Linked DNA regions of Ovis aries. The protein of the gene in region 1 interacts with the protein of each later gene in a pairwise test. Links are inferred from orthologs where the notes say so. Each region holds a gene or a part of one and is shown in the gene's direction. Other genes may lie near its edges.

Evidence for each region.
Region 2: the proteins of MPPED2 (region 1) and RXRG interact in binary tests that used the Homo sapiens proteins (3 or more experiments, as listed by UniProt). The two-hybrid records come from large-scale screens. The link is inferred for Ovis aries from reciprocal best matches to the Homo sapiens genes MPPED2 and RXRG.
Region 3: the proteins of MPPED2 (region 1) and CAGE1 interact in binary tests that used the Homo sapiens proteins (3 or more experiments, as listed by UniProt). The two-hybrid records come from large-scale screens. The link is inferred for Ovis aries from reciprocal best matches to the Homo sapiens genes MPPED2 and CAGE1.

The regions. Positions count from the first base shown.
Region 1 is NC_056068.1:60,184,191-60,187,842, reverse strand, and holds part of MPPED2 (metallophosphoesterase MPPED2), read left to right. Parts: intron 1-3,094; 5' UTR 3,095-3,215; coding exon 3,216-3,343; intron 3,344-3,652. UniProt on the Homo sapiens protein: Displays low metallophosphoesterase activity (in vitro). May play a role in the development of the nervous system.
Region 2 is NC_056054.1:117,398,105-117,401,756, reverse strand, and holds part of RXRG (retinoic acid receptor RXR-gamma), read left to right. Parts: intron 1-336; coding exon 337-428; intron 429-1,945; coding exon 1,946-2,051; intron 2,052-3,652. UniProt on the Homo sapiens protein: Receptor for retinoic acid. Retinoic acid receptors bind as heterodimers to their target response elements in response to their ligands, all-trans or 9-cis retinoic acid, and regulate gene expression in various biological processes.
Region 3 is NC_056073.1:47,139,778-47,143,429, forward strand, and holds part of CAGE1 (cancer-associated gene 1 protein), read left to right. Parts: intron 1-36; coding exon 37-1,062; intron 1,063-3,652.

The DNA.
Region 1 (3,652 bases):
ATATGTATTGAAGTGTAAAAATGGAAATTTAAAAAAGAGTACTGCTTTCTTTAAATATTATACATAAAAAATAATGTGTGTGATGAGGATGAGGTGCTCCAAAATCTTATCATTTGGAGGGTTTTACTGCCTGTATGAAGCAAGGGGATGCAGATTCTTAGTAGTTTGAGGCAGTGTATCATTCTGTCTTGTTTCAAGCTTTTTCCAGGTTTCTCAGATTAGAGGAGGGAGTTTACAATAAAAAAAAAATGCTTTTCCCATGTGTTGGTGTTTCATATTCTTGAGATATGATTATCCTGTGATGTGAATGGAGGTGAACATAGCATTTTTAAAAAATAAGCTTTTTCTTGACTTGTCTGTAAAGGTTCCTGTGAAAGTTTTGAAGCTCTCTGCCTCAGTCTGACATTTTCTTCAAAGGACTCCAGATTAAAGAAGATAGACGCTGCAGGTGCACTGTTTCGATAAAACATTTGAAAGAGAACATGGTAAAGATGAATTCAAATGAGGTGCCAGCCACCCGTTTACCCTTTTGAGTTACAGGGGCCTGTGCTTGCTGATGAAAAGATGTTCTATTTGTCTTACTGGAGCAAAGGTGCAAAGAGGCACAGATCTCACTTGATAGAAAAGGCAATCCCATGTTGACTGTAGGATATAGTGGACCATATAAGAGTGCAAATTGATCACCTTCTAAGTTCTTTTCTGGACTTCAAATGGGAGGGTCTAATGCTAACTACTGTAGGTCATTACCTAGATATTTACATAATAGGTATGTATCTTTCATTTCTAGGCCATTTTGCTGAGTTTAATTAGTGAGTTTACTCCAGGAACATTTAAACTGTTTCTGGCTCCGGGTGCAGAGATTGTTACAGAGAGGTCACAGTGGTCTAGACATGAATTTTATTTCCTTTGCTTCTTAATGTTCTGTATTTCACACAATGGACATTGATGGCAGGAACGTAAGAATTGCCATGTAATTTTTACACCACTCTCTAATTTATGCAAACACTAAGTTCTCCAGTCTGAAAATGTGTATTTTTCCCCCTCTGTGCTTTGATGGCTAACATTCTTTTTAATGACAGTCATTTCTATAACAGGAAGATGTTTTCATTTGTATTTACTTTTCAGCATGTCGCAATTATGCAGTTTTGCGCTTCATTCGTGTCTCGGTACTTTGTGTCTCAAAAGAGAATTACAGTACTTAGAACAGGACTGCAATTTGAAGCAGGTGTTGTGTTTTACTGTTATGCAAAATAACAGTAAAATATAATTGTGGGGGAAATTAAGGAAACAGCTGCAAACTTGGTATGAAAACTGCTACATTATGATTTGTAAGCAGTTCTTATAGATATCTTACATCAGAGAAGCAGGCAAAGATTTTAATTTCGTTAATCCTACTGGCCTGGTTGTCTGTCAGCCAGTGCTTAGAGGACTCATACCTCCCATGAAGTCAGGAAGAAGAAAGAGAACCCAAAATGACACTTTGTTTAAAATGCCAGAGCAGGAGGAATTCATGTCTTGGCAGCCCCATTGTGTGTTACGAACATAGGCAAGGTGGGTGTTATTTAGCTTGCTTTGCTAATATGAAGAAGGCAATGATTTGAGTAGAAGGCTGTGGAATTTCTTCACTCAGCTAGCATATGGAGGACTACACAAGCCCTGGGTTGTAAAATAATAAAATAAATGGCCTATGGCAAGCCATCTGCCTTTTGCTTGATATTTAAGGTGTTTCATGCCAAATTTAAATCTAATCTTATTATTCTAAATATTTTTATTTGAGATAGCATCTAAGATTCCCAGAACTTAATGGTGCACATGGTGAAAGTATTGTAATGCAGAGCGCTTAAAGTTAGAGAGTGTGGGTTAACCCAAGGGTATCCAAGGAGCATGCTGTCCCTTTCTTTAAAACTTCCCTGATCAATTGCAACAGCTTAGAGGCAGTGATGGGCTCTGCTCAGTCTTTGCGCACTGCTATAAAAATAAACATCCTCATTTCTGAACCCAGCGCAAGAAATAATATAGTGTCTTTTATACAAATAATCAAAATGAGCTGAAAAAGATTTTAAAGGATGAAACCAGCTACTGAGAATTATTGCAGCACCAAGCAGGAGTGAGGGGTTCCCTTGTAGCTCAGCTGGTAAAGAATCTGCCTATGATTCAGGAGACCTGGGTTTGATCCCTGGGTTGGGAAGATCCCCTGGAGAAGGGAAAGGCTAGCCACTCCAGTATTTTGGCCTGGAGAATGCCATGGACTGTATAGTCCGTATGGGTACAAATAGTCAGACATGACTAAGCGACTTGCAAGCAGGAGTGAAGCGGTAGATTCAATGGCCACCCTTCTTTACTGCTCCTTCTGGTCTTTAAGAGGCTGGTAATGAATGCATCCAAAATGGTGATCCAAGCCTGGATGTGTTCACCTTTCCCTTGAGTAACTGGATGGTTTTAAGAAACTACGTTACATGTAGCAAGAAGGATTTGGGTTAACATAAAGTTCTTGGCTGGAGTGGAATCCATATGTATACCATGCTTTTAGTGCCTATGTATTTTGGAACCACTGAAAAATTATATGTGATGTGTGCATATATTATGTGTACATCATAGTTACACACAGGTATCTGTGATGAACACAGCATTTTAAATTTACATTTGACATTGTGTTTTATGGCTGTGCTAAGCACCGAGGTTTCAAATTATTCTGTGACACCAACTTTGTACAGACCAAACATTCCAATTAGCAGGGAAGGTTTGGAAGACTCTCCACTTCGAGCTCCAACCATTTATAGTTAGACACCATGGCAACTGTGGATGTGCCCTTCCGTAATTCACGTTAAGTGGCATAATTATAATTAAAGAGGAAATCTTAGTTTGAACACCATTGAAATGGTTTGCTAGCAGCCAGCCGTGTCATTTGGAGTGTCATGTCCATTCTGAAGTACGTGCTGGATGGAGAGTTGGGAAAGGTTTTGTCCACGAAGCGACCACACAGATTAAGATTTTTCCTGAGCCAGTTTCACATCCAGGTGTCACATCTGACATTGTTTAGAACATCCTCTTTTTCTTTGTCCTCATTTTTTTTGTTTGTTTTGTTTTTTTCCAGAAACGCAGAGCAGTATTGATGAGTAGATCCTTGGGTTCAGAGGTTGGCTGAAACACACCATGCCCACTTCCATCCTTCGCTCTGGAAAGTTGTGAATTGCTCATGCCTATAGAGAGGAAGGATGGCACATGGGATTCCTTCTCAAGGCAAAGTTACCATCACGGTGGATGAGTACAGCTCCAATCCCACCCAGGCATTCACGCACTACAACATCAACCAGAGCAGGTTCCAGCCGCCACATGTACATATGTAAGTATCACTTGTGAACTTAAAAAAATTAGCCATCAGGGTATTAGAAAGTCGCTAATGACTTGGAGAATAAAAGATATATGCTTCACCAAACAGATGGGTTATCTGTGGTTCCAAGTACGGCTCAGAGGAATCCTCCGTGTCTGGGTAATGCTGCACCTTTCCAGAGTATGTACAGTCGACCATAATTTGCTGTTAGATCTTTAGAGCCCTCATGGGGTTGCCTGCATTTTGTGGCTGACAACAGAGAGGTTCAGATATTCACCTAATGTCACACAGCTAATTTTGGCAGATTCCCCTGATCCCTAG
Region 2 (3,652 bases), on another chromosome or scaffold:
TGCCTGTTGCATTTCTACCAATTTCCAAAACCTCTCGGCTGCTTTTGCAGCCCCCTCTCTGAGTTCCCTGCCTCTTCCTGGGACTCTGATTATGTCGGTCACTGCCTTGGCATTGTTGCTATGTGCTGTTTCTGTGTCTGTTGCTTTGATTAAACTGAGAGCTCCTTGAGATCAGGGACTGCACCTGATTCATCTCTGTGCCCCTAGTACCTGGCCCATTGACTGGAAAACGTGGGCGGGGTGGGTCCATAATAAATACTGATTGCATTCCTTTTATCAGCCTTTGGTCTGCTGCTCGTGATTTTCTCATTACCTGTCATTGTTTCCTGTGAACAGAGTTCTGACTGAGCTGGTCTCCAAAATGAAGGACATGCAGATGGATAAGTCAGAGCTGGGGTGCCTGCGAGCCATCGTGCTGTTTAACCCAGGTGACAGCATCTTTGTCCTCCTCCCTGGTCAGCCCCCAGCGCTCTGATGTTATTTGGCCCTCTAGCTCGGCTGAGACAGAGAGGGGAGAAGGCAGGGCCAGGAGACCTGTCCGTGGGGAGGACAGAGTTGCCTCTGCATGGCCTCTGCTCCTTGAGGCATCTTGAAAAGTGTCTCAAATGGGCGTGGAGTGTGCACATTGGGGGTCAGTAGGGAAGGTGGGAGATGATAGAGGCCTAGGATAGTAAAGGAGGTGGTAAAAAATGGTCAGGTTCTCCAGGGGCTGACAGAAGCTAGTGAGTAAATAAGTGCTTCCATCTTCCTTCCCTAGTGGACAATTCTGCGGCCCATTCCACATGCCTCCTAAGAGGGTCCCTGTGAGACTGAGTCCCGGTTGCCCATGGCCGTGATCAGTCCAGTCATGTGCTCTTGTGTTGCCTTTTCTTCCTTCCCTGCTTTTTCTTTTCCGGTCCCTCCCTCCTCTTCCCTTGGTCACTGCCTCAAGTAAACTACTTCCATGCGAGACGAAAAAAATAGTAGTCAGGTTCTGCATATATTTTTTGGCGGAACTTATGGGATTTTGCTGATAGATTGTACCTAGGATATGAAAGAGAGGCATTAAATATTTTTGTTTTCCTGAACAATTGGAAAACAGTTTTCATTGACTGAAGCGGAGGTTCTAAGGGTGGGTGGCTAGGAAGCAGGTGTTTGGACATGAAACTCTGAGATGGATGTAGATGTCCAAGAGCGGCTGTCCAGGAAGCAATTATTCATGTGACTCTGGAGTTCAGAGGAGAGGCAGGACCAGAGATGCACATTTGAGAGCTGTCAGCCTATACCTAGCGTGGAAAGTATAGGGAGGCTGGTGCGAACTCATCCAGGGAGGAAGCAGAAGCAGAGCAGAGGGCTGAGGACTGGGTCCGGGGGCATGGCCACATTTAGAAGTTGTGCAGAAAAGGAAGAAACAGCCAAGGTGCCTGCGAGGGAGCAGTGGGTGAGACAGGGAAGAACCAGAGAATGACGTCCTGGGGTCTCAAGGAGGAAAAGCACTGCGAGGAGGAGCGAGAGCTCAGCTTCCACCAGAGGCCGCCATGGGTCCGGAAAGATGAGTGTTCAGAACTACACAGTGACCGATGCACACACTTCGTCTCTTGAGTCAGGTGATCAGTTAGTGGAAGCAGGGCCTGGCTGCGTCTGGGCTTTGTTCCCTGTCTTTTCATTCAGCCCATGCTTAGCACAGAGCAAACACTCAATAAATGTGTAAAGGTCGTATATGCACAATGGCCCAGATAAAAGGAAACTCTCCTCCTTGGAGTCAGCGCTGGGTACCTTTGCTTCAAGAGTTTATTGGGTAGATTGGCAGGCACAAAGCACCAGCTCTGTGTATTTCACAGTGCCCCTCGTCCAGTGTGTCTCTAGTAACTCGACAGGAGGTGGCCTATATGCATGGGGACAGCCTCTGTATCAGGGTGTTCCACAGAGGTGCGTAACCAGAGGTTTAATCAGCTGTCTTTTTCAGATGCGAAGGGTCTCTCCAACCCGTCTGAGGTAGAGACTCTGCGAGAGAAGGTCTATGCCACCCTCGAGGCCTACACCAAGCAAAAGTATCCAGAACAACCAGGCAGGTGAGGGGGTCCTGAAAGAATGTGAACAACGTAGCCATTGGTGAATGGCTGATGGTCAGCACGCTCTGTCTAGAGTTTTTCACAACCAGCTCACAGTTACTCAAACGTTAGCTTCATGAAACTGGAGGTCTTGTCTCTCTTGTATATCCACCACTCACCACTGCGGCATCACTCGAGCACTCGAGAGCTTATCACCATTCTTGGCAAATAATACTCATCTTTAAATGTTGAGTGAACATGCAAATGAGTGAATAATTGGAGAAGTCCTTATCTCTAATTTCTAAAGAGGTCTCAAGGCTCCGAAAGGGTAAGGAACTCGCCCAGGGTCACAGAGCTGGTGCATGGTGTAGTGAGCTGTGAACACAAGTGCGTTTGATTTCAAAGAGCCTGTGTTCTCCAATGTGACTGCGCTGCTTTCCGCTTCGCCCCAATGAGAGCCCTACTGCAGTAGAAGGTACAGGCTTTGGCAGCCAAGAGGGGTGACCGCTGGCCCTGAGGGCGCCATCTGTAGGCTCTGGCAAGGTCCTGTGTCTGAACCTCTTGTCTGAAAAGGAGGACATGGGTCAGAAGGTCTCTGAGGCCATCTGTCAGTATTCCTGAGTCGTTGAATACTTTTCCCAAATGTTTCCCCCAAGTACAACTGAATAAAAGTTTCCTTACTCTGCTAACTCTAGTTAAAAAGAGAGAAAAAGATCACCAATCTCACGGAAAACTGCAAATGAAACCTAAATCAACTCCGTTAAAGGCATTAGTTTGTTTTTAGAATTAATTATGTGTTCCCAGTTCTCACTGATGACTTTTATTCCCCTATGATTTTTATTAGCCCATTTTTCCTGGATCATAAGCCACAATCAGTTGTCTAGAAGAGGCTGAGCTCTGCTTTTTTTTTTATCACAGGAAATGAATGAGTCTGAGTGAGTGGGATCTAGCCTGTTGGTACAATAAATGTGCAGGCCTTGTGTGTTAGGGAGCGTAAGTTGTGACAACAGGTTTCCCGATGTCAGTAGTTGAACACAAATGTACTTCCTCCTCACCAGTCAATCCTGGGTGGATAATCAGTCTAGAGCACTGACTGTTTTCCACGCCATCCCTCGGGAACCCAGATTTCCTCCTTCTCGGGGCTCCGTGGTCCCCTAGTCACGTTGTGTTTGTACGCTGATGGTTGAAGGGGCAGAAGAGGAGGGGCCCAGAGGTGAGACTCTACGAGCAACACCTTGACCCGGAAAGGGCCCATCTCCCTTCCCTCACTTCCATTGGCTAAAACTCGGTCACACGGCTCACCTGGAGAATGTACGCAGCTAGATGCCAAGAAAGAAGGGGAGAGTGGATCTCGGTGGGTGCCTGGAGTCTCTCCTATACCTGCAATGGGTAAGACTGAAAACCTACCCAGCAAGCAGGGCCTGGCTGCCAACATCAGCTCAGCCTCTGGCCCTTAGGAGCTGACTGAAAACTCACCAGAATGCTGGTGACACTCACTGGATCTCCCAGCTGTGAGGCACCATCACACGTGGTTTTGTGTGTGTGTGCACATCTTGTGTGCCAGGCATTAGAACTAGGAAAGCTCATACTCATCCTTTTCCTCTTTAAAAAAGAAAACTTTT
Region 3 (3,652 bases), on another chromosome or scaffold:
CTATTTCAGACTTATTTTATTTACTCTAATTTACAGATTGCAGGTTCTTCCAAAGGAGTACAGAATTCTATGGATATTCCTGAGATGTCAGTCAGGCACCAAAAGGAAGTCCCAGAAAAAGGCGGGTGGAGGCCACAGACGGGCTCAACTTGGGCTCCTACAGGCATGTGTTGGAGCGGTGGAGCATCTCAGGAGGCCTGCGTGATACCTGACTCAGAGCAGAGCTTGGAAAGCTTACAACCTCTGGAACAGGACATGGCTTTAAATGAAGTTGTACGGAAATTAAAATGTACTAACAAAGAAAAGGAAACTCGGATCCAAGACCTAGAGCGTCAGAACACGTATTTAGAGAAGAAGGTTGAGGAACTACAGATGAATGCGACTAAACAGCACGTGTTTGTGGACATCATCAATAAGCTAAAGGAGAAGGTCGAAGAGCTAATTGAAGAAAAGTACAGAATAAAGCTGGAGAAGAGTGATACAGAGAAGACACTACGGAGTTTGCACGAGATTTTAGTTACCACCCAAAACCACCTTCAGGAATGCAGGAGTGAGAAGGAAACCTTACAGGCAGAGTTTAAGAAACTCAAGGGCAATTATGTTAGTCTGCAGGAAAGGTACATGACTCATTGCATGGAGATGGGCAGCACCTTGAGCAAGAAAGAAGAAGAGATAGAAAGCCTGCAGCAGCTCAAAGGAGAGCTGGAAAAGGCCACCAGTGCCGCTCTGGACTCGTTGAAAAGGGAGAGAGAGACCGGAAGAGAGTTCCTGTCTTTACGGGAGGAATTTCAGAAACGTGAAAGGATACACCTGGATGAAAGAGAGAATCTGAAATCTAAACTCGAGAAATTGGTCACTCAGGTTCAGAAGGTGAAATTCCTATCCGACAGTGAAAAAGCTAAGAATGCAGAACTCCAGCAGCAGATTGACAAAGTAAAAAATGAAAACACAACACGTCAGCAGCAGGTTGCAAGGAGTGAGGAGCAAAATTGCGTCCCTAAATGTGAGATAGCTCAACTCAAGGAGATCTTAGAGGATGTAATACAGTCAGATGTGGCCAAGGTATTATCACAAATTCAGAATCTCTAAGGCAGAATTTCAGGAGTTTCTAATAGTCTGCTGAGGCGTATTTGGGCGTGGCCCATACCCTAATTTGTTGGCGGAGAGAATTAACCAAAAAGAGAGAAACAGTGGAGAAGGTGCCACAGTTTTGGACGAGTTTCTTTGGGTCTCAGATACTCCCATTAAAGAACAGCCATTCCTGGCCTCTTGCGATTATATTGGTAGAGTTGCAAATGAATGTGGGAATTTTGTGGGTACCTAGGAACCCGGTGAGCTGCAGTCCATAGTGTCGCAAAAAGTCAGACACGACTGAAGCAACAGCCCACATGCAGGCATGCATACATGACCGATCATCCGAAGCTTCCTCTGAGAAAAGAATTTCTGAGTGGGATCTCAGCCTTTTCATGCCATGTCTGCCTGTTCAGCAGTAAAATAGATAATACAGCTGCATATTTGGTTTACAAGGCAAAACCTACATTGTAGCACACAGTAATTTTGTAAAGTTACAAACATTTTTACTGAGATAGCATACTCCACTAGTTTTAGGTGTACAGCATAAAGATTCAATATTTGTATGTCTTGCAAAATGATCACCAAATATATCTATTAACAATCGTTAAGAACAACATGAGAGCCTCGTATCAATGTGTTTGGAGAACCTGTATTTTGTATTTGCAGTTCAGATGGCTTTTTTGGCAGACAGCTGGAAGCCTGTCTTGGTAGTGATAATCCTCACAAGCCAGAGCACATCTGCTCTATTCCGGTTTTGTAGGCCTGTCTTAAAATATCTGTAGTGCAACTTTATTAATTATTAGAAGGCTAATCTGAGTCAGAAAAATGTATATGTTTATTTTTATATTTGTCATAATAACTTAAACTGAGCTGATTTGTTGCTCAAAGATGTCCTTAGAAGACTTTCTTTTGTGAATCTCTAATCAGTATTAAGTATTGTTTGCAAGACAAGGATCCTATTATTTTTAATGGCTCTTAGAAAAATACTGTTCTCATGGGACTGAAAATTCTCTCTGTCATCTTTTCTCCAGAAAGAAGGAAGGATTATCTAAGCCAGTGTGGTTCTCAAACTTTAGCATTTATCAGCCTCAGCTATGAAAATGCAGATTGCAGGGACCACCCCAGAGTCTCTGATTCAGCAGGTGTGAGGTGGGGCCTGGGGATTTGCATCTCCAGGAAGATCTTGGGGTCTCACTGATGCTCCTGGCCCCAGGGTCATGCTTTGAGAACTACTGACCTAAGCAGGTCGGGAAGATCCCCTGGAGAAGGGAATGGCAACCCACTCCACTATTCTTGTCTGAAGAATCCCATGGACAGAGGAGCCTGGAGAGCTACAGTCCATGGGATCAAAAAGAATCGAAACACGGCTGAGCGACTAACACTTTCATTTTCACTTTCAGCCTAAGCAAAGATGACCTTCAGTTTGGCTGTTAACGAAACCACGACGAATTTTGAATTAGTAAACACTGAATAAATCAGTATAACTGTGCAGCAGTTTATCCACTATACAATGTTTTTCTTGAGCTTTCTTTCTTTCTTTCTTTTTTAGGGCTTCCCTGGTGGTTGAGAGGTTAAAGCGTCTGCCTGCAATGCGGGAGACCTGGGTTCGATCCCTGGTTTGGGAAGATCCCTTGGAGAAGGAAATGGCAACCCACTCCAGTATCCTTGCCTGGAGAATCCCATGGACAGAGGAGCTTGGTGAGCTACAGTCCATGGGTTGCAAAGAGTTGGACACGATTGAATGACTTCACTTTCACTCACTTTTTTTAAAGGCAGCTTTTGCTCTATCTTGACTAATCCGTTTTTGTTTTTTTTTTGCTTCTAGTTTTGCTTTTCATTAATCTTTAGGTCCATTTTCTCGATGTGTGTTCTGGGAGCATCTTTGATGTTGAAGCATTTTCATGGTAATATGAAGACATCATTGCCTTTTTCACTCTCATTCTTTCCCAAGTGCACAGTGGAGATTTCCAGTGAAGCCATGTGCCGTGTGACGGTGTAATTGCTTTCACGGCTGATGGAATGTGGAAAGTACAGTGGAGAGTCCTGCTGTCTTCTATTAAGCCAGCATTAAAAATATTTGCAGAAAGTGTAAACATTCCCACTTTTCACTAATTTTTCATTTTGACAAATGTGGTAATTTTGTATTAAATTGTCGCTTATACTGACAGAATAGATTTATTGTTGTTTAAATGAATTAGTAAATAAATATTTTTGAATGTTCTCAGTTGTAATTTCTAATACAATGAATACTGATAAATATAAAATAGATTCTAATGCAATAAATGTTTATAAATGTAGATATTGTATTTCTAATACAATAAATATTGTTATTTAAATGAATTTGTAAATCAATATTTTTGATGTTCACAGCTGTGATTTCTAATGCAATAAATATTGACAGATACAGCCTAGCAAACAAACGCTTTGGGATATCCTCAATAATTTTTAAGAATATGAAAGCATCCTGAAAATCAAAAAGTTTGAGAACCACTGCTTTGAGTTTTTAAGAGTGATATTTTATTCAGCATTTTACCTAAAAAGTAATCCAGATTCTTTGTCTTTATTGTGACAAGTCTGA